Linked DNA regions of Xenopus tropicalis. The protein of the gene in region 2 interacts with the protein of the main gene of each other region in a pairwise test. Links are inferred from orthologs where the notes say so. Each region holds a gene or a part of one and is shown on either strand. Other genes may lie near its edges.

What was found.
Region 1: the proteins of cdc5l (region 2) and dixdc1 interact in a two-hybrid assay, tested with the Homo sapiens proteins (2 studies listed by BioGRID and IntAct). The link is inferred for Xenopus tropicalis from reciprocal best matches to the Homo sapiens genes CDC5L and DIXDC1.
Region 3: the proteins of cdc5l (region 2) and ppfia2 interact in a two-hybrid assay, tested with the Homo sapiens proteins (2 studies listed by BioGRID and IntAct). The link is inferred for Xenopus tropicalis from reciprocal best matches to the Homo sapiens genes CDC5L and PPFIA2.

What each region holds. Positions count from the first base shown.
Region 1 is NC_030683.2:84,568,661-84,575,236, reverse strand, and holds the start of dixdc1 (dixin), read right to left. Parts: upstream 4,067-6,576; 5' UTR 3,805-4,066; coding exon 3,742-3,804; intron 1-3,741. UniProt on the Homo sapiens protein: Positive effector of the Wnt signaling pathway; activates WNT3A signaling via DVL2. Regulates JNK activation by AXIN1 and DVL2.
Region 2 is NC_030681.2:148,160,666-148,167,125, reverse strand, and holds the start of cdc5l (cell division cycle 5-like protein), read left to right. Parts: upstream 1-2,213; 5' UTR 2,214-2,408; coding exon 2,409-2,453; intron 2,454-3,311; coding exon 3,312-3,415; intron 3,416-4,576; coding exon 4,577-4,738; intron 4,739-6,292; coding exon 6,293-6,420; intron 6,421-6,460.
Region 3 is NC_030679.2:52,878,644-52,885,150, forward strand, and holds the start of ppfia2 (liprin-alpha-2), read right to left. Parts: upstream 4,067-6,507; 5' UTR 3,748-4,066; intron 1-3,747. UniProt on the Homo sapiens protein: Alters PTPRF cellular localization and induces PTPRF clustering. May regulate the disassembly of focal adhesions.

The DNA.
Region 1 (6,576 bases), on a different chromosome or scaffold from region 2:
ATTTTTTAACAAGGGGGGCAATAACTTTTTCACACAGGGCCATGTAGATTTGGAGTTTTTTTTCTCCCTTAATAACGTAAACCTTCATTTTAAAACTGCATTTTGTGTTCAATTATGTTATCTTTGACTAATAGTTAACGGTTTTTGATGAGCAGAAACATTTTGTGTGACAAACATGCAAAAGAATAAGAAATCAGGAAGGGGGCAAATAGTTTTTCACACCACTGTATATATTTATATATATATTTATATATATATATATGGCCTTTTTATTAACTGATGTACCTTAGCGCATAGTAGCTAAGAACTATGTGAGCAGTTGAACACTGACCTGATACTTTAAATGATAGCCAGTGTTTGTGCACAAACATCAAACACACGCATGATTTCATTTGAAAACAGCACAGCAGAAAGGAAAACAAATGTTCCACCACTTAACACATGAGAAGTTATATAGTGAAAGCCTTTGTCACATGACTTTTCTACCAAGATTAAAGGATTTCATAGTCTTTTCTGGATGCTTGAGAAAAGTATTTTCCACATAGTGCATATCCTGCCACGTAGTATCTATCCTTAAGGTAGAAATTATTTGCCTCTATTCATTCGGCAAGATGCTTTAGAGCCACCAACATTTCTCATTGGGACGGGAAGAGATACTCTTCCAGTTGTAGCAAGATCACTATGGCTTGTAAGAGGCATTGTTTTTTCACTGACAGCTTTTCCCACTCAGGACTATGCATGTTACAACTATTACAGATAAAGCTGTAATTAGGTGCAAAATAGGAAAGACTGTGAAATATGCAAGGGCAAAAGATTGACTGTTCAGGAGCTATATTTAGTCTTACAGCAGCTAAAACGTGAGCGATGTGTGACAATCAGATGCAATTCTGCCTGGAAAGTAAAAGTCCGCCCACTGGGGCCAGCACTGTGGAAATGTGAATACATTTGAGTTTCCATGGTTATCCCTTAACTCTAATCCAAACACTGGTAATGCTGTTATGGGACAGGGCCCATCTGCTTCGAAAGTTGATGGTTGGTACCGCCAGGTGGCAGTAACCAGTAGAGATAAGGTGTACCAGAGATACATGGCCATACATGTAGCAATTCTGATCTTTCAGGGCTGAATCGTCAGATCTGGTGGTAGAAACAATAGGAATTCTACCTCCACCTGCTGATTCAGCCTGAGCGCAGATTTTGTTTGGGCGCCTTTAATGGCGCTTGATCAAAATCTTTTAACCCAGCTGATCAACAAGACAACCGATATCTGCAGCCTTTGCGATATAGGTCATCTTGTTGATCCACCATACACGCACAAAATATTGTACGAAACGAGGTTTTGTACAATATCATTGGTGCATGTATGGCCAGCTTTAGAAGAATGTTATAAAACCAGAAGCTCATCCAGTACTCTAATTGTTTGGCTGCCAAAGGACCTAAATTAACTGTATAGAAGGGACCTAAAGGTTAGCTTTTTATTGTTTAAAAGGGACAGTGGCAAAAGATCAATCTGTCAAGGGTGGATCAAACCATGTATATAAATTACCCAAGCACTGATTCAAGATACAGTTCAAATCAGATGGGCAAAACCTGAATCAGCCATTTGACAACATAAGTCCATCAATCGTATATGAATGTCATCAATTATACATGAATTCATTGATACAAATTCCTTTTTCATTCTAAAAACAGTGAAACATCAATTTTTCATACCCTGTTTTACGTTTTCCTGCATTTTACTTTGTTTTTTGTGACCCAAACTATTTATAATGCATTTCAGTGGATGCTTTCTATGATTTTACATAATGTTTACAGATTTTACATAAGAATTTTGGCCTAATGTTCCTAAAAATATCTGCTTGTCCTCTATGAATGTTGTTATTAGTGAAATAAAGAGGTTTACAATTCTAACCAGATGCCTAAACCATGGTCCTGTCTGTAAATTATCAGTTCCAATGAGTCTGTACCTCATAAAGCCATGCACAAATCACTTACTGCTTTAGGTTGTGCATCTGACTTGCGCATGATGCCCCATAGGGTGACATTAATGCTGCACTGCGTAACCCTTGTCATTAAAAATGCAAATATTGTATTTTAAAGTAAAAGTTATTCCTGGGCTTATATCCTTTGAGTACTTGAAAAATAAGTTGTTTTAACACATTACTATTTACATTTTATTGGATTTTACACAATTTTTTCCTGGTCACCTGAAAAACATAAAATGAGGGTTATACTGTTTGAAATAAGTTCACAGAAACACCTGGAGCAGATCATTATCACTCTAATGACATGGTTTACTCTGATGACCCTAACATGTTGATTTGGGGATTATCCGGCAAGCTACTCTTGCCTGCTATTTGGTCACACCCTGTTTTGACTGTATTTGCATTAGCACTGTGTTAATTGCAAATTTACAAATATACCACTGGCCATGAAGTAAAACATTTGCGGCTTAGTATTATGCCACTTGGTGTCACATATCTAATATATATGAAAAGCGGAAAACTGTGGTTACAGATCTCTAAAGGCTGATCAAGTCATTACATAATAATAATGTCAAGTAAAAAGGTATGGATTTGGCAGTTAAATCAAACATGCCTGCAGCAATTCAATAAAAGAACTGCATGAAGTGTGTACCAGGTCCAGGTCTGTAAGAAAAAGTAATTAAGAGTATGGAAGTGCTTGAAATATTTTAAGATACCATGTATGAATAAAGCCATTTATGTTATATATGTACTGTAATTTAACAGGTATATATCTACGGGAGTTCTGAGACAAACACCTACATAACAAAAGGAATTGTCAAATGGTAATTAGGATTAATACAATTGTAATTAGAATTTCTTATCAGGTATAGTTTTGTCATAATCACCTGATATGACCTGATATAATGCAGCTTGCTTATCTGAGTAGCTAACTAGAGATCTGCCGCGTTTTCGTAGTAGGGGGTCAACAGACGTCCCCTTGTGTGGTTGTTCACATAGTAGAAAACATGCTGAATTTTTATTTAGCAACCACACACAACAGGAAACCTGCTTTGCTAATCTGAATACCACACCATAAAAAAGACCAAATGCAAAATTGTTTTGATTAATTGATTGCTTCAGCCTACATAACTATCATCAAAACACCAGAAAGTTACACAGAACTTTACATTAATTTATAAAACACAGGGGCCTTACAATAATTTAGCAAACATAGGTAAAGAATACTTTTTTGTATCAAATGACCCTGTTCCCAAGAGCTTACAATCTAAAATAAAAGTCAGCTGAGCTGTCTGGGGGGGATGAGATGCTGGAAGATGTAGTTAAACAACATAGAGGGAAAGTAACATGTTTCCCAACCTTAATTTAAGGTAAATCTGTTTGTTAAAATAGTGTATGAAAAAAGCCTACCTGTATAATAGAGTATATGATACAAGCATACATGAATTTAAATGAATTACACAAATCAATGACATCCTGCCAGAGACTAGAGTAAGATGATATATGCGGCCAGGCCAATCTAATGTGTAAGCCTGCTAGAGATAAAATGACAGGAAGATATGACCCAGTTGCTGCTCTACTGATGCTGAGAAAAGGAAGCGCTAGAGAGACGAATCTCTTAGTTACCAAGCCACCACTTCCCCCGACTTTTACAACTTTTCCACACCTCTTTGCAGTGCCAAAACATAAAGGGTTACACTGTCACCAAAGCCAACACATCTGCCTGGCACAGGAACTGCTTAATAAAACATGCATTTACCTCTGGGAATCCTTCATGAATAATGTCCAGCAAATTCCCCCTGGCCAGACTGGCAATCATCATTCAGTAAAAAGCAACCCCCAAACGTGGCTCTCTTCTCTTACTGTCACCAATGCTCCCTGTGCTCCCCGGCTATTTCCAGACACAAAGAATAAGGAGCCATCAGGGATAAAGCTGGTCCATGCAGCCCGTTAATTTGAAACCAGATCTTGAGAGCAGAGTAGGGAGGGGGACGAGAAGTGCAACTGAGCATGCTCGTAATGGGATCCTACCAGCGTATGGTGTGTCAGGCTTATGTCTCTATGGCAACTTGTAGTTTATAGGATGTTGTCACAGGAAAAATAACAGAAAACAGATGCAAACCTCAGTAAGCTTTCCTGCCTGCTGAGCCCACATGAAACACATCACACAAGCTACCCCTCACAGTGGGTACATATCGTACATTTTTCATTATTCAAGATATTTCTTATCTTGCACTATTGATCAATCACATGAACATGAAAAGATGTGCTAAATATTGTATTTTCTCTATATTTGTTTCAGAATGTCCTATTCCTAACAACTGCTCTTCATTGTTTATTTTTTTACAGATTTTGAATAATTTACCTTCTTCTTCTGTCTGATTACAGCAGCTAAATCAGTTTTGCTCTGTAAAGCTACAACTTTATTGGTATTTTTACTTTTCATTCTATTCAGTCCCACTCCTGTTAGGCGAAGACAGATGGGCAAATAGTTGCTGCTACTTTTAAGAAAACCACAGTCACGGTGACTAATCTCAGTGACTAACCTCCGTGTAAAATAGAATATTGCCGCGACCGTGTTGTACAGGTCACCGTGACTTTTAACAGTGCCTATTAGGGTGAAGACACACGGGGCGAGTTTGGTAATTCAGAAGTTGAATATATCTGTTGTTCAGTCTGCAGTCATTCAGCTAGTGAACTACAGCACCCAGAATCTCTAGTCAGATAAATAGAACTGTGCACTTCTGCATATTGACAGAACGCTGTATTTGTGAAAGCGCACAGCGCAACCAGCTTTTGAAATAAAGAAGGAGGCAGGGCCATGGGTTTTCCATTTATTTACCAAACTGGCTACTTTTTTTTCGACCTAGCAGAATTGTTTGGGAAAGAACACTATTTTTGAAAGGAGGAAGATGTCTATGGCTAGAACAGGGTATGTGTTATGTTTGTGAAAGGCTGATTTTTCATATGACTTTTGGTACATGTATGCTGGCCAGACAATCAAGTCAACAGTTAACTTTCCTGCACTTCCTGTCTTTCTTCCATGTGATACAGCTGATTGATCCACAAGGCAGTCTGTTTCACCATCAATAGCTTGTGTAGCCAAATTGTATTTATATGTGGTAACTAACCATCATGTGTGTCATCCTAATCCATGGTCCTTAGACAGTCACCCCAATGCCAATTGTACGCACTGATGGCAGTAAATGTCTGGGGTTTCAGTGACTACTGGAACAGAGCTTTAAGCTTCCCAGATGACTTGTAGGCATGCCTTTTGCTGTCTTACAAAACAAAACACCCCTATTAGCTAATTACATTGCTCTTTAAGCTACATTAGAATTACAGTCTTAACATTGAGCAAGTCTTTTAATTTAAACACAATCACCAGCATGTAAAATCAGTTTTAGGAGCCTTACTGTATTACAGAGATTACGGTACAAAATCCTTGCTTAATCATCCAAAAATTGTTTTACCCACTGGAGGTGCAAGCTAACAGAACCTTTATTCTGGTAGGGGGACAACTAGGGGGACAGCTGTGCTTCACCATACACAATCACTTATTATGCACATGTATATGCCTTCACATGCCCATCTGAACGGGAAGCACCTTCCTGGTGTTGGAAGCTTAGCGCTGGCATCTCTGGTGGGGGGAAGCTATTTATGATGACAGATGCTCCTTAAACACCAAAGTATTTCTGGAAGTTATAGGTCTGCTTATCTCTCAGCTAATAAGATGCACTCTTACATATATTTAATAGAGCTTACATTCTAAAAGAGCAAGATTACAATTTTAAATTAAGTATTCTGACAGAGGAGAAAGTTGTACAGTATGTTGTACCATTGTTATAAGAAATATGAGAAATCTTTTATAACTTAACTAACAAAGGTAAGTAAGCTGCACCCCTGGGGAATGCTAGAGCTGCTACCATAAAAACAAAAGAGGTGCTTCTTAATATTTTGCTGCCTAAGGGGGCAAACCCAATGCTGTCCCACCACATTTCACACAGACTGGTGTAGGGCAGTTGATTGTTAGTGTAGAGAGCAATTACAAACTCCTATACTAAAGACAGGCCCACAATGGCCAGGGGAGCTGCTGTAAGATGCCATAGACAGTCACTATTTATTGGGGGGGTCAGCTGAGACTTCTGTGTATTTCCAATCCCAGGACCTATTTTGAATCGCAGTCTGGACCTAAGGCTTCCTTTAGTAAAAATAATTGACCATCCTGGGAAAAAACGAAAGCAAAGCCACACATCCATTTTACAGCATACTTACCTTTCCAAAGCATCCTTAGCATAAACTTTGTGCAGTACAGGTAATGGACCCATTATCCAGAATGCTTTGGACCTGGGGATTTTCGGATAAGGGATCTTTCTGCAATTTGGATCTCCATACCTTAAGTCTACTAAAAAATCATTTAAACCCAGTAGGATTATTTTGCCTGCAGTAAGGATTAATTATATCTTAGTTGGGATCAAGTACAAGGGACTGTTTTATCATTACAGAGAAAAAAGAAATCATTTTTAAAAATTAGAATTATTTGCTTATAATGGAGTCTATGGGGGATATGGAGTCTACGGCATTTCCGTAATTC
Region 2 (6,460 bases):
CAGTGGTTTAAAACAGAGACAGGGATATGAATAAGGGAGGACTTAAATAGAAAGATAAGTCATTAAAAGTAACAATAACAATACAACTGTAGCCTCATAAAGCAATAGTTTTTGGCTGCCGGGGTCAGTGACCCCCATTTAAAAGCTGGAAACAGTCAGAAGAGGAGGGCAAATAATTTAAACACTATATAAAATGAAGATCAACTGAAAAGTTGCTAAGAATCCATTCTATAACATAGTAAAAGTTAACCTGAAGGGGAACCACCCATTTAACCTATATTCTACAAATGTTCCTAAAGCTTAATACCCTCAATTAATTGTACTTTTATTTTCTTTTGATCTGGAGATCAATCTCCAGACTGCCACCACTCTTACAATGGTTTTAAGATGTTGTACAGGTATGGAATCCCTTATCCAGAAACCCATTATCTGGAAAGTTCCGAATTACGGAAAGGCCATCTCCCATAGACTCCATTATAAGCAAATAATTCTAATTTTTAAAAATGATTTCCTTTTTCTCTGTAATAATAAAACAGTACCCGTACTTGATCCCAACTAAGATATAATTACCCCTTATTGGGGGCAGAACAGCCCTATTGGGTTTATTTAATGGTTAAATGATTCCCTTTTCTCTGTAATAATAAAACAGTACCTGTACTTGATCCCAACTAAGATATAATTACCCCTTATTGGGGGCAGAACAGCCCTATTGGGTTTATTTCATGGTTAAATGATTCCCTTTTCTCTGTAATAATAAAACAGTACCTGTACTTGATCCCAACTAAGATATAATTACCCCTTATTGGGGGCAGAACAGCCCTATTGGGTTTATTTAATGGTTAAATGATTCCCTTTTCTCTGTAATAATAAAACAGTACCTGTACTTGATCCCAACTAAGATATAATTACCCCTTATTGGGGCAGAACAGCCCTATTGGGTTTATTTATTGGTTAAATGATTCCCTTTTCTCTGTAATAATAAAACAGTACCTGTACTTGATCCCAACTAAGATATAATTACCCCTTATTGGGGCAGAACAGCCCTATTGGGTTTATTTCAATGGTTAAATGATTCCCTTTTCTCTGTAATAATAAAACAGTACCTGTACTTGATCCCAACTAAGATATAATTACCCCTTATTGGGGGCAGAACAGCCCTATTGGGTTTATTTAATGGTTACATGATTCCCTTTTCTCTGTAATAATAAAACAGTACCTGTACTTGATCCCAACTAAGATATAATTACCCCTTATTGGGGGCAGAACAGCCCTATTGGGTTTATTTCATGGTTAAATGATTCCCTTTTCTCTGTAATAATAAAACAGTACCTGTACTTGATCCCAACTAAGATATAATTACCCCTTATTGGGGCAGAACAGCCCTATTGGGTTTATTTAATGGTTAAATGATTCCCTTTTCTCTGTAATAATAAAACAGTACCTGTACTTGATCCCAACTAAGATATAATTATCCCTTATTGGGGGCAGAACAGCCCTATTTGGTTTATTTAATGGTTAAATGATTCCCTTTTCTCTGTTATAATAAAACGGTAACTTGTACTTGATCCCAACTAAGATATAATTACCCCTATTGGGGGCAGAACAGCCCTATTGGGTTTATTTAATGGTTAAATGATTCCCTTTTCTCTGTAATAATAAAACAATACCTGTACTTGATCCCAACTAAGATATAATTACCCCTTATTGGGGGCAGAACAGCCCTATTGGGTTTATTTAATGGTTAATTGATTCCCTTTTCTCTGTAATAATAAAACAATACCTGTACTTGATCCCAACTAAGATATAATTACCCCTTATTGGGGCAGAACAGCCCTATTGGGTTTATTTAATGGTTAAATGGTTTTAAGCAGACGTAAGTTATGGAGATTCAAATTACAGAAAGATCCCTTATCAGGAAAACCCCAGGTCCTAAGCATTCTGAATAACAGGTCCTAAACCTCTACCATATTAGCCATTGAAATAGCCTGGGTGCTTCCAAAGCTTGCAATGTTTACTTACTCAGGTGACTTAACTAATAAAGGGTATCTCCTAACCTTACCTTTACCACTTTTACAATTACTTCACACTATTGCAGCTGATAAACTACAACTCCCATAATGCCTCTCCTCTCTCTTGCCAGGGAATTCCTCTCACTTGCCGGGGAATTCTGGTAAATGTTGTTCCGCTACCGCTAAGGGCGCAGTTGTTCCGCATGCAATGCTAACCTCCAGCCACCAGAGGCCGCTGTGGGGAGTTACTGTATGTTCGCTATGCGCTGTGACTAGCAGTAGAGCGGCGGGCACGCTGGTGTGTGTGCGCGTCACTTTGCACAACAAGCCGGAGGCCGCTTTCCCCGTTTCTCTCCTTGCTACACCGTGCGGGCCCGGGGCCCCTAACCAGCAGCCAGGATGCCGCGAATTATGATAAAAGGCGGGGTGTGGCGGAACACCGAGGTGAGAGGGGTTATGGCGTTGTGTAGCGGCTCAATGAACTCACATGGGCGCCTTGATATTTCCAACAGGGGATTCTGGGAGTTGTTGTTCACAGGGTCCCAGCTTGTGCTTTGGCCTTTTCCCTGTTAGTGTTTCAGGATTGTAAAGCTGACCAATTGCACAGGAGTATTTGAGTGAAGCTGAGCTGCTTAATTATAGGAAATAATAGTGTAATTTAGGTGCAGGTAACTAGTTCAATGTGCCTCTATGGCCTGTAGAGAAAGCCAATATAGGTGGGCCAACTTATACTACAACTCCCAGCATCCCATTGCTCGCCAGATTGTTTTGTGATCGAATTCCAACCAAGGTGTGTTTTCCTATAGCAACGAATCAGCAGATTGCATTGGTTGTCAATTGGTTGCTATGGACTGCAGCCACTGGGGGTTATGCCTTAGCTATTTGCATTATAGTCTCAGTCTTCATTTTTAATGTGGGGTTTTTATTTTAAATGATTAAGCTGTTTGTTCAGCAGCTCTCCAATTTTGAATTTCATCTGCTATCTGGTTGCTAGGGTCCACTTCATCCTAGCAGCTAAGCAGTGGTGTGGAAGGTGAATAGAAGAATGGTCTAAATAGAAAAGTAATATAAAGTAAAAAAAAATAAAATTGGGCTCAGTGCCCTACGTTTTGAAAGATGGATAGGGACAGAGGGGAAGGGAAATCCATCAAAACCTTTAAAAAAAAAAAAAAAAAAAAAAAAATATATATATATATATATGCATTTTGCTTCATACTAAGATACCCCTGTACCCTATGTCTCCCTCACTTCTCATGTGTGGTGTTGATATACTATAACGCACTTTCCTCTTTATTTTCTCAGGATGAAATCCTCAAAGCGGCTGTTATGAAATATGGGAAAAACCAGTGGTCTCGTATTGCTTCCTTGCTGCACAGGAAATCGGCCAAACAGTGCAAAGCCCGATGGTACGTCCCGGCCATTATAGCCACGGGCCCGTAGCGTTCCATACGTTCCTGTTCTAATATGAAACCAGATAAACTGCCCCGCAACAGCTGGTATTCTGCATTGGTGGAAGGGGGGGGGGGTAAAGAGAATGGGCAAAGCAGGCATGGAAAGGGTTACACATGCACATAATGCACTGACAGTCTATCCATATTGTCTGTAATGAAGGGCATGGTCATGTGACTGAACATTGGGCTGTAAAGCTCTGCGTATATTGATGGCGCTATATAAATAATGATAATTTGGGTTACACCTAGAAATGCACCTTGAAGAAATGTGTATACATACATGTAGCAATATGTATTGCTACAATACATACATACATACCTACCTACATACATACCTATGTACATGCATACATACCTATATACATACATATTGATATATTAGCCCAATATTGCACCCTGAAAACATTTAGGAAATTGTTTCAGTGTGTAATCTTCTGCTATGAGCATTTAAAGTATTTTAAGTTTTTTAAAAAGTAAACATAATTTCAAGCAGTATATATCAATTAAAAGTATGCAGCCTTTTCATGGTTTTTAATGTAATAATATGGTTTGGAACAGTTCCCTAAGCCCCGCCCCCTGTTCCCCTGCTGATCTGGCTGGCTACTTTGTGACTCAAATAAAATGTAACAGTAGTCGCCTGTCCCCAGCCTGCCTTCAGCCTTCATCCTCCCAATCCCACAATCCCCTGCTGCACACGTGATGTCAATAAGGAAAGGAACATCCTAGTGCAATGCATTGTGGGTTATGTAGTTCCTGCATGCTGTCTGTAAGCTGTGGAGAAGTTGTTACAATCTGTAACATCAGTGTTTTAGTCCCTTCTCCCCTGCCAGGATTTCAAATGATGCAGAAAGAGAAGGACTGTTTTGCAGCTGGATTTCAGCATATAAAAATGGTATTTATTTTTACTTTTTGACGGAACAGATTTCAGTGATAGGTATATTAGGGATTTCTGTGTTGTGTGGGGCTCTTTAACAAAAAACAGAGTGATATCACAGTCAAATTAAGTTCCATGCTTTCACTTAGATTTGTTGGCAGACAAGCTAACAATTACCAAGTGCCCTTCTGAATATCTGTAGTAACATTGGTTGCTAAATTCGTTTAATGTCTCTGTGACAGGTATGAATGGCTTGACCCAAGCATCAAAAAGACAGAATGGTCCCGAGAAGAAGAGGAGAAACTACTTCATCTGGCCAAGCTGATGCCAACTCAGTGGAGGACAATCGCTCCTATCATAGGAAGAACAGCCGCCCAGTGCCTTGAGCACTATGAATATTTACTGTACGTACCATTCATTCTGAAAATGTACATTTGAATTGTTGTTGAGCAGTTTGAACAGTTGTTTTCTGATACAGCAGTGTGAATACGTTCCCATTCTATCAGGCAAGAAGTAACTGTACCCTTAACCAGAAGAGGAATTTGATATGGGTTTTTTTCTTAATCGCTATTGTGTCCTTTGCTTGTTTTTACCCCATACTGAGGTATAGTTTACCAGCCCAAACCTGATTATTAGGGATTCTGACCATAGCATTTGCTAGTTAAAGGACCAGTAATTTGAAAAATAGATTTGTTAGACATACTGGGATACATTTATTATCTCTTACATGTTAAAATCTTGTGCTGGCCATATATGTTAAAGGAACAGTTCGGTTTGAAAATAAAACTGAGTAAAATAGACAGACTGCGCAAAATAAAAAATGTTTTCGATATAGTTAGGCAAAAATGTAATCTATAAAGGCTGGAGTGGGCAGATGTCTAACATAATAGCCAGAACACTACTTCCTGCTTTCAGCTCTCTAACCTCTTAGTGAGTGACTAGAGGTGGGGCCACATGGGACACAACTGTTCAGTTATGTCCCATATGGCCCCACCTCTAGTCACTGATTGGTTACTGACTGCTAACAGCTTAGAGAGCTGTAAAGGGGAAAGTAGAGTTACATTTTTGTCTAACTATATTGAAAACATTTTTATTTTATGCAGTATGTCTACTTTACCCAGTTTCATTTTTACATTGAATTGTTCCTTTAAGATCCAGTTGACTGGTGACGAAGCCAAATAAGTGCAATATTACTTGCTTAGGCCTCACTGCTGGTAGGCCACATAGTTTGGCCTGTGGACCAATGATAAGCTCACACAGGGAGCTGTTGCAGACCACTTGGGGGAGGACAGTGTTCATGGCACAATAAAAGTTTTCAGACAGTCTGAGTTATATCTAGCCAAGGCCCAGTTATTGGTCATGGAAGCCATTTTTTGGTCCCATCTATAAGCTGCAGACTCAAGCAGGAGTGACTCTTTAGAAGTCCTGGGGGTGGGGGTTGACAAAAGATTACAATATATTCTAGGTTACTCTAACATTTGCCCATGTCCTTAAAGGAGAACTAAAGAAATAAAATAGAAATGTTGTACATTATGTTTAGGGCTCCTGTATCAGCCCAAGGCACCCACAGCCCTTTAGCAGGGAAGATCTGTGCCCCCAAAGATGCCCCAGTTAGCTTAGGTACCCACTCACACTATACTTTGTGTATATGTGTGTATATATATATATATTCTGCTTAATATTTCCTGACAGCCTCTAAGCTTAGTTTATCAACAGCTGCCCAGAGTCCGTTGAGCATGTGCGCGTCTCAGACTCTTTTGATAAAATCCAACATGGGGAGCCCCTGTGACAACTGTAAAGACCTGGATCATTGCTGCTATAGAGATGCTGAACCCTTAGGCTGGTGCAATAAGTTCATTATTCAAAATAGGGCATTTCTAGCCATATTAATTTGTAGGGTTTAGTAGTTCTTTAAGGTTGAATAAAACTAACTGTGAATATGGGTCTTATTTATCTAGAGATAAAGCTGCGCAACGTGACAATGAGGAGGAGTCCGCAGACGATCCTCGCAAGCTTAAGCCAGGAGAAATTGATCCAAATCCTGAAACAAAGCCAGCAAGGCCAGATCCAGTGGACATGGATGAAGGTAACCTTCTTTCACAGTTAGGGTTTTTGGAGGCCAGTGA
Region 3 (6,507 bases), on a different chromosome or scaffold from region 2:
TATATATATATATATATACGTTACATCTCGGTTTGTCACAGCAAATGGCGGGGGATAGTCCTTGGCCATTTAATCTCTGGTGGTGTTTGATGGTTTTCACATGCCCACTGCGTTTGCAGTGGCCGGCATTCGTTATAAACAGTTATAAAATTATATGTTTGGTAAAGTTTGTAATACATGGCAAGGACTATTTTCTCTGATGTTGGATTTCTGTAATAAAGCTGTGGCCGAACTCCACCCACAAAAGCTATGGTGTCATGGTGTTTTTCTTGGCTAGGTGCTACATTCAAAGGGGATATAGTTAGGCGGGGAGGGAATAAGTCTCCACAGTCACCAGTTAATTGCTTGTTATTCTGCCCATCCCCTTGCTTCCAAGTCAGCCCTTTCCACATCTGCTCCTACTTCCCCCTGCCCAACTCACAAAACCTCTGTTCCATTGGGCCTATTAAGCCACCCCATTACATTATTGTCCTTTCCATTTGCAGAATTACCCTGCCTTTTTTGTGTCATGACGCCTCCCCATGCCTCACTGCCTTACTCCCCTAACAAAGCAGCTGGTAATTTACTGTAGGAAAGGTGCCAATCCTAGTTCAGGGCAAGATTTGCCTTTTTTGATCCCTTATGCCCAACTGCTCTGCAGAGGGGGTAATTCCATCACATTATCCAAAACATATTCTAACTTTTACATTGATTTATATTGTTTTTATTCCTATTGGTTTTTACATTTTTAGCCTTCCTATTTTGCTAATGTAATAAGCGAATCTGTCCTGTTTCACGTCGCCAAAAAAATCAGTGATCATGGCAAAAAAATGCAAAACACACTGATCAAATTTTACACGGGTGACGTTTTTTTTTTACTTCAAATGTTGGAGAGACCTTTTTTTTTTTGAGAGAAAAAATTTGCTGATTCCAAAAAGTGGCATTTCGTTGCAAAACCATGTCTGGGGAAAAAATTTGCTCATTACTAGTGACCTTTTATTAATGTTCTTATTCTGCCTATTTCCAACTAAATATGCCATCTAGTTCCTGGAAGCCGAAAATACACTGATGCTAAAGCTTAAATGTTATCAGTATTCTTGTTGTTTATTGCATATATTAGTATTCAGGCCCTCTACTATTCTGGCTTCCAAACTGATGCCAGGTTGCTATGGCAATTAAACCCTAGCAACCAGGTAGTTGTTAAAATGTCAAGTCTACAGCAGCCCTACCCTTATAAGACTCAAAGCTTTTGTTAAAAGGACAGGACGCAGATAAAAATTTGTCCCAGGTACACTTGGGGGCCAGTGATTAGAGGTACAGATATTAAGTTTTTTTAGATTGATTTGTTAAATATAGGAAGACAATTAAAACAGATACTGCATGATGAACAGCTTCAGACTCATACACTGGACATTGGAATTATGTACAAGCTTTTAAAAGAGAAAACAACTTTTATGTATATATCTGAATTACTTTCTCTTTTCTTAGCTAGCTTCTGCTACACTGTTTTAAAAGTCAGGACTGCCAGTGCAGCAATAGAATTGTACATTTACAATTAATTAAAACCATAGAAAATGGTATTTTTCAGTTTACATCCACTTTAACAATTTATTTTATATTTGGGATTATCCTTGTTATATTTGGTAATCCCCCCCCCACCAAAAAACAAAACAAAACAAATAACAGAATTTAATTGAGCCACATAAAATGGTATTAATGCACATCATTGCTACATTCTATATACACTTTCTTTTGTCCTGATGTGTTTAATTGTTTGTTCATGATTTGCCATAACTCAGTGTTTTTTAGCGGCCCAAACAATTGGAAAGAATCTGTTTATTTACTTTTTTTTTTGAGCCACCTCCAAAGTTCAAGAGAAAATCAACACTACATAATTATGTGTTTCACACATTTAAACTCCCACAGATCCTTCAGAGGAAATAATGTAAGGCAGAGGTTGTTCCTTTACCACACAGTCCTTGGTTCTGCCCTCCAGGTTTAAATATTAGAAAAGAAAAAAAAAAAACAGCAAGTACTGTGGAATGATATTTGGAAAGAATACAATACTTTTTCTTAGGTTGCATTAGTCATAGCTTAAATGCAGCAAGGTCTCTGTTAAATGTAACAATGTTATTTCTCTTTTCTAATGCCCTATACTACTGTTTTGGGAACTGGGGTGTCATTTCTTGATCTATGGACACAGGGCCAACTATATATCAGTCAAGGTAAGTAAAAGGGTCTATGGAAATATTGGGTTATGCAGCTAGAATATACAGTCAAGGTGCACTTCATAACTTCATCTAATAAATGAATGCATTGTTTAAAGACCTTAAGCAATCACTGGAGTCCATAGAATGCAAAAGATACAGTAAAGGTCATTAACTCATAATTAAGGAACATTCATGTAACATTTGTCAATATATTTCACAGATGATCGTTTTTAATTTTTTTTAAGCTCAGAACCCCTGCCCAGTAGTTGATGAACTAGAGTTGCTGAGCCATCCTGAATATAGACATAACCTTCCCCCTGCATATGAGCAGGGATCAGTGGCAGCACTGAGTGGCACCCTTCTGGGAAAAACTCCCTTTCTTGGCCCCATTAAGTTAGTGAAACATGAACTCTGCAGGGCCATGCACTGCACATAAGAAGTATACCAGTGCCCATGCAGATTAACTGTACCCCATATACAGTCCTCTGTCACCACTCCCCATGCTCCGCACTTTACTCATCCATTTATGGCATAGTCCCTTAAAGATTTTTCTGTCACCTGCTCAATATGTTGATTTCTATTTGCATAGAGACCATATTATTTGCATGTTTTGATTATGACTGAAATGTAAATATATATATATATATATTTATTTTTTATTTTTTTTTCTGGGTGTGCCTCTTATGTGACAGTGTGTCCCTTTAAACAGCAGACAGGTCAGTGTAATGCTGCAGTTCTAAGAGTCACGGTCATCCTTTTATCCCCCCCCTCTTGGTGTGAACCTGTCCCCACACCTGCACATATGATCGTGTCTTGCTCCTGTCTCACTTCATTGTCACTTGGGTTACTGTTCCTGACTTATCTGTGCCTGTATCCTATCAATGACTCCCTGCCCTCTTTCTTTCAGATTTTTTCCTGTTTCATGAATTGAGCTTGCACAGACTGGAAACTGTATGCTTAGGAGGCACAGCAATCAACTCTGAAAGAGATCTCCTATTTAACCAAAATGCCTCAGGGATGAGTAGAAGAAATAGATGCATTAACCCATTCAGTGCTGCAGCATGTGCATAATTATGGGGTGCAATTCCCCCACCCACGTACCCACCCATGGTAAATCCTACTGCTCTATTCAGCATGACTTATTTTTCACACATTTTAGAAGAACACTGGCTGTAGGTGCCGCACAGTGTAATGCGAGCAGGAAAATCCTTGCCATTGTCTCAATTGCATTACATCATGCATATCCCTCCTCCTATTTAACTCCTTGCTTTCCAGGGCACTCTATAGAAGATACTAGCAAATTGCACTAATCTAACACACACACAGACACAGAGATGGACACACAGTACAAAGCTGTCAGATGAAATGATTAAGGATGAGCAGCCCTGTGATAGAGAATATGTTCCCTGCAGAAGCCATCACTAGATGAACAGCACTTGTCTGCCAGAACCAAGGCATTTGCATGCATGACTCTTAACTTTCCCGTCATGTGTGTATTAATATAACAAATATTAACAAATCATCTACATGATCTCATTAGAAAGAGATTTTTCAGTACCTAATCTTCTATAATTCTGTTCGCTTCTTCAAGAGATCAATGAAATCAGTCTGCAGTCTCCACTGGCTCCTGGAATCACACTGAGCACTCCTGGACCATTTCCCCATCAATTCGAACACAAATCTTGCTCACAATATGCTAAAGTCATAGCACCCTCCAGGCACGAGTCTGTAGGCAGAATCAGCTTGGCACTTCAGCATGTCTGCCTCTCCTGTCAGCACCCAAATGGAAAGGCATCCATGGGAAAAATGGCACATTACAAATTTTGCAATGGGAAGCAGAGCTCGGTAGAAACCATTGTTTAGAGCTGAAGAGGGGAGGTGTCTCTTAAAGCCCCAGCATCCTTTGACAGCTGCATGAGAATGAAGGGAATCTGCAGCAGCCTCTGTATACTGAAAGGTTATTTGCATTGATTACAGCATTCCAACTAAGCTATATCTCATAAAAATAAATATTTGATTGGCTGGTAAAAAAAAATGACTGACATCAGAAAATGTTCTTGTTATATTATACACACACCTACATACATGTAAATAAAACACATTTTGAAAAATATATACACACATATACATATAATATATAAATATCTTATATTATGTATAATATTTTTAAGATAATACTGCAATTGCTGTATTTATTTATCATGCCCAAAAAATCTGAAACTGGCTTATTATTCTACAAATTAATTGATAAACATTAGAAGACGTCTTTTGGAATGATTTAGTTATAAACGTAAATACAAAATCTCCCATTAGAAATAATATCATTGTAATTTTTTTTCTATTTAATCTAAAATATGAGCAGTGTTTTATGGTAAAATCAAGGGCAAATAATGATGTCTATTTTTACAATTGGGTATTCAGTATTTAAGGGAAAAAAATAACATATGATTCTATTAAGGCAAAATAATTTCTGCTTTTATCATTTTGAAATAAGGTTTAAATGAATGTTCAAAAAGAGCAGCAAGGAAAATCTACACTAAACACCTAATTTGATGAGAGTTATGCAACAGTTTAACATCTGATAGAGAAAGCAGAAAAGTTCACTGGAATCTCTCATGATTGTTCCCTTTGCTGTTGGAGTGGTTTCTACCAGTCCCTAAATAAATTCTGAAGTAATCACGCCTGCTCTTTCACTTACGTGCAGATCTCCCCAGCTGCCTAAGCTACATTTGCCGGTAGGCTTGATGCACATTTATATACGCTGGCTACAGGAGCGTGCCATAAGTCTAGCATTATATTCTGTATTTAAAGGTTAATGTAACGGCTGCAGCTGGGATCTGTAATGTGAAGCAATGGTATGTGGCATCTGCCCCGATGTTGTGGAACTACAACTCTCAGACCCTCGTTGCAGCTTTTGATATGCTTACTGTGGCACGAGTTACCCATCTGTTATGCTTCCTGGCTTATTAATACCTCTTATGTACCATATGTTCCCAATGCTCTCAATTCTCTAATTTCCTATACAGTTTCTTCTCAAGTATTTGTCCATTGCTTTGTTCTCCTATATAGTCAGTTGTCTAAGCAAATTCATTTATGCCATTCTCCTGTTTGGGTAGTTGTACACTACAGCAGTTTTGTATGACACATGGGTTAAGGGCTACTTGCAATGCGAAAGGCAAATATCAGTGGAAAATGACCCACAATGATCCCTGTGTTTTAACCAAGCAACCACAATGCCTTATGTTCCATACCGCTTTTATTACTAGTCATCTTCCCTGGCTTTAGCCTGTAAGACATGACTGCTTCCAAATTGCAGTTTTGCGGGTAGGATAGACTTTTATAATGTAAAGGAAAAAGAAAACACACACATTATTAAATAAAACATATTCTTACACTATGCAATGTTGCTGATGACCAGAGGCACATTGAGAAAAGAATAAATACATGTTTGGGTCAAGTATATGGAACACAATAAATGCAAGAAAGATTGCTACTTTGGTAAGTCAAATGAAAGCTGAATAACCACAATACCTTTCAATAATGTCTTCATGTCTGTGCCTTGCTCCCACCTTTACTTTACCCCCCCCCCCCCATTTTTCTTGTATTCCAATACACCACTGTGACTGAAGCAGCACCTTGCTGTGTCACTAACTACATTATAATACCAAATGGTGCAAAGCGACAGTGTCCATCACAGTTTGAACCCAGATGTTGCATTCCTGCACTCTTATTTGGGTTTTTTGGCATGTTTCTGAGAATATTGCTATTACTTTACCAGCAGGTACCAACAAAATAATAGACATAAGGTTAATTGTCACTTTCATCCTTTGATAAATATGCCCATAAAACCCCATAAAGAGATTTGTGGCATTTCTCTCTAGTGACCTCTTTTTTGCTCATCTCAAATTTTCAACTCTATTCAGTAATTTAGATGTAAATATTTATTAACCACATACCTTTTACAGTTTCTATAGTTATATCAAGTGTCCGCAAAATGATCTAGAACATATTACAGGTATAGGACCTGTTATCCAGAATTCTTGATACATAATTCGATAAGGTGTAATTTGGATATTCATACCTTAAGTCTAATAAAAATCATTAAAACATGAATAAAACCCAATAGGATTGTTTTGCCTTCAATAAGGATTAATTATATCTTAGTTGGGATTAATCACAAGGTACTGTTTTATTATTATAGAGAAAAAGGAAATCATTTTTAAAAACCTGAATTATTTCATTAACATGGAGTCTATGGCAGATGTTCCTGAATAATGGGTTCCAGGATAACAGATCCCATACCTTTACAAAATATATA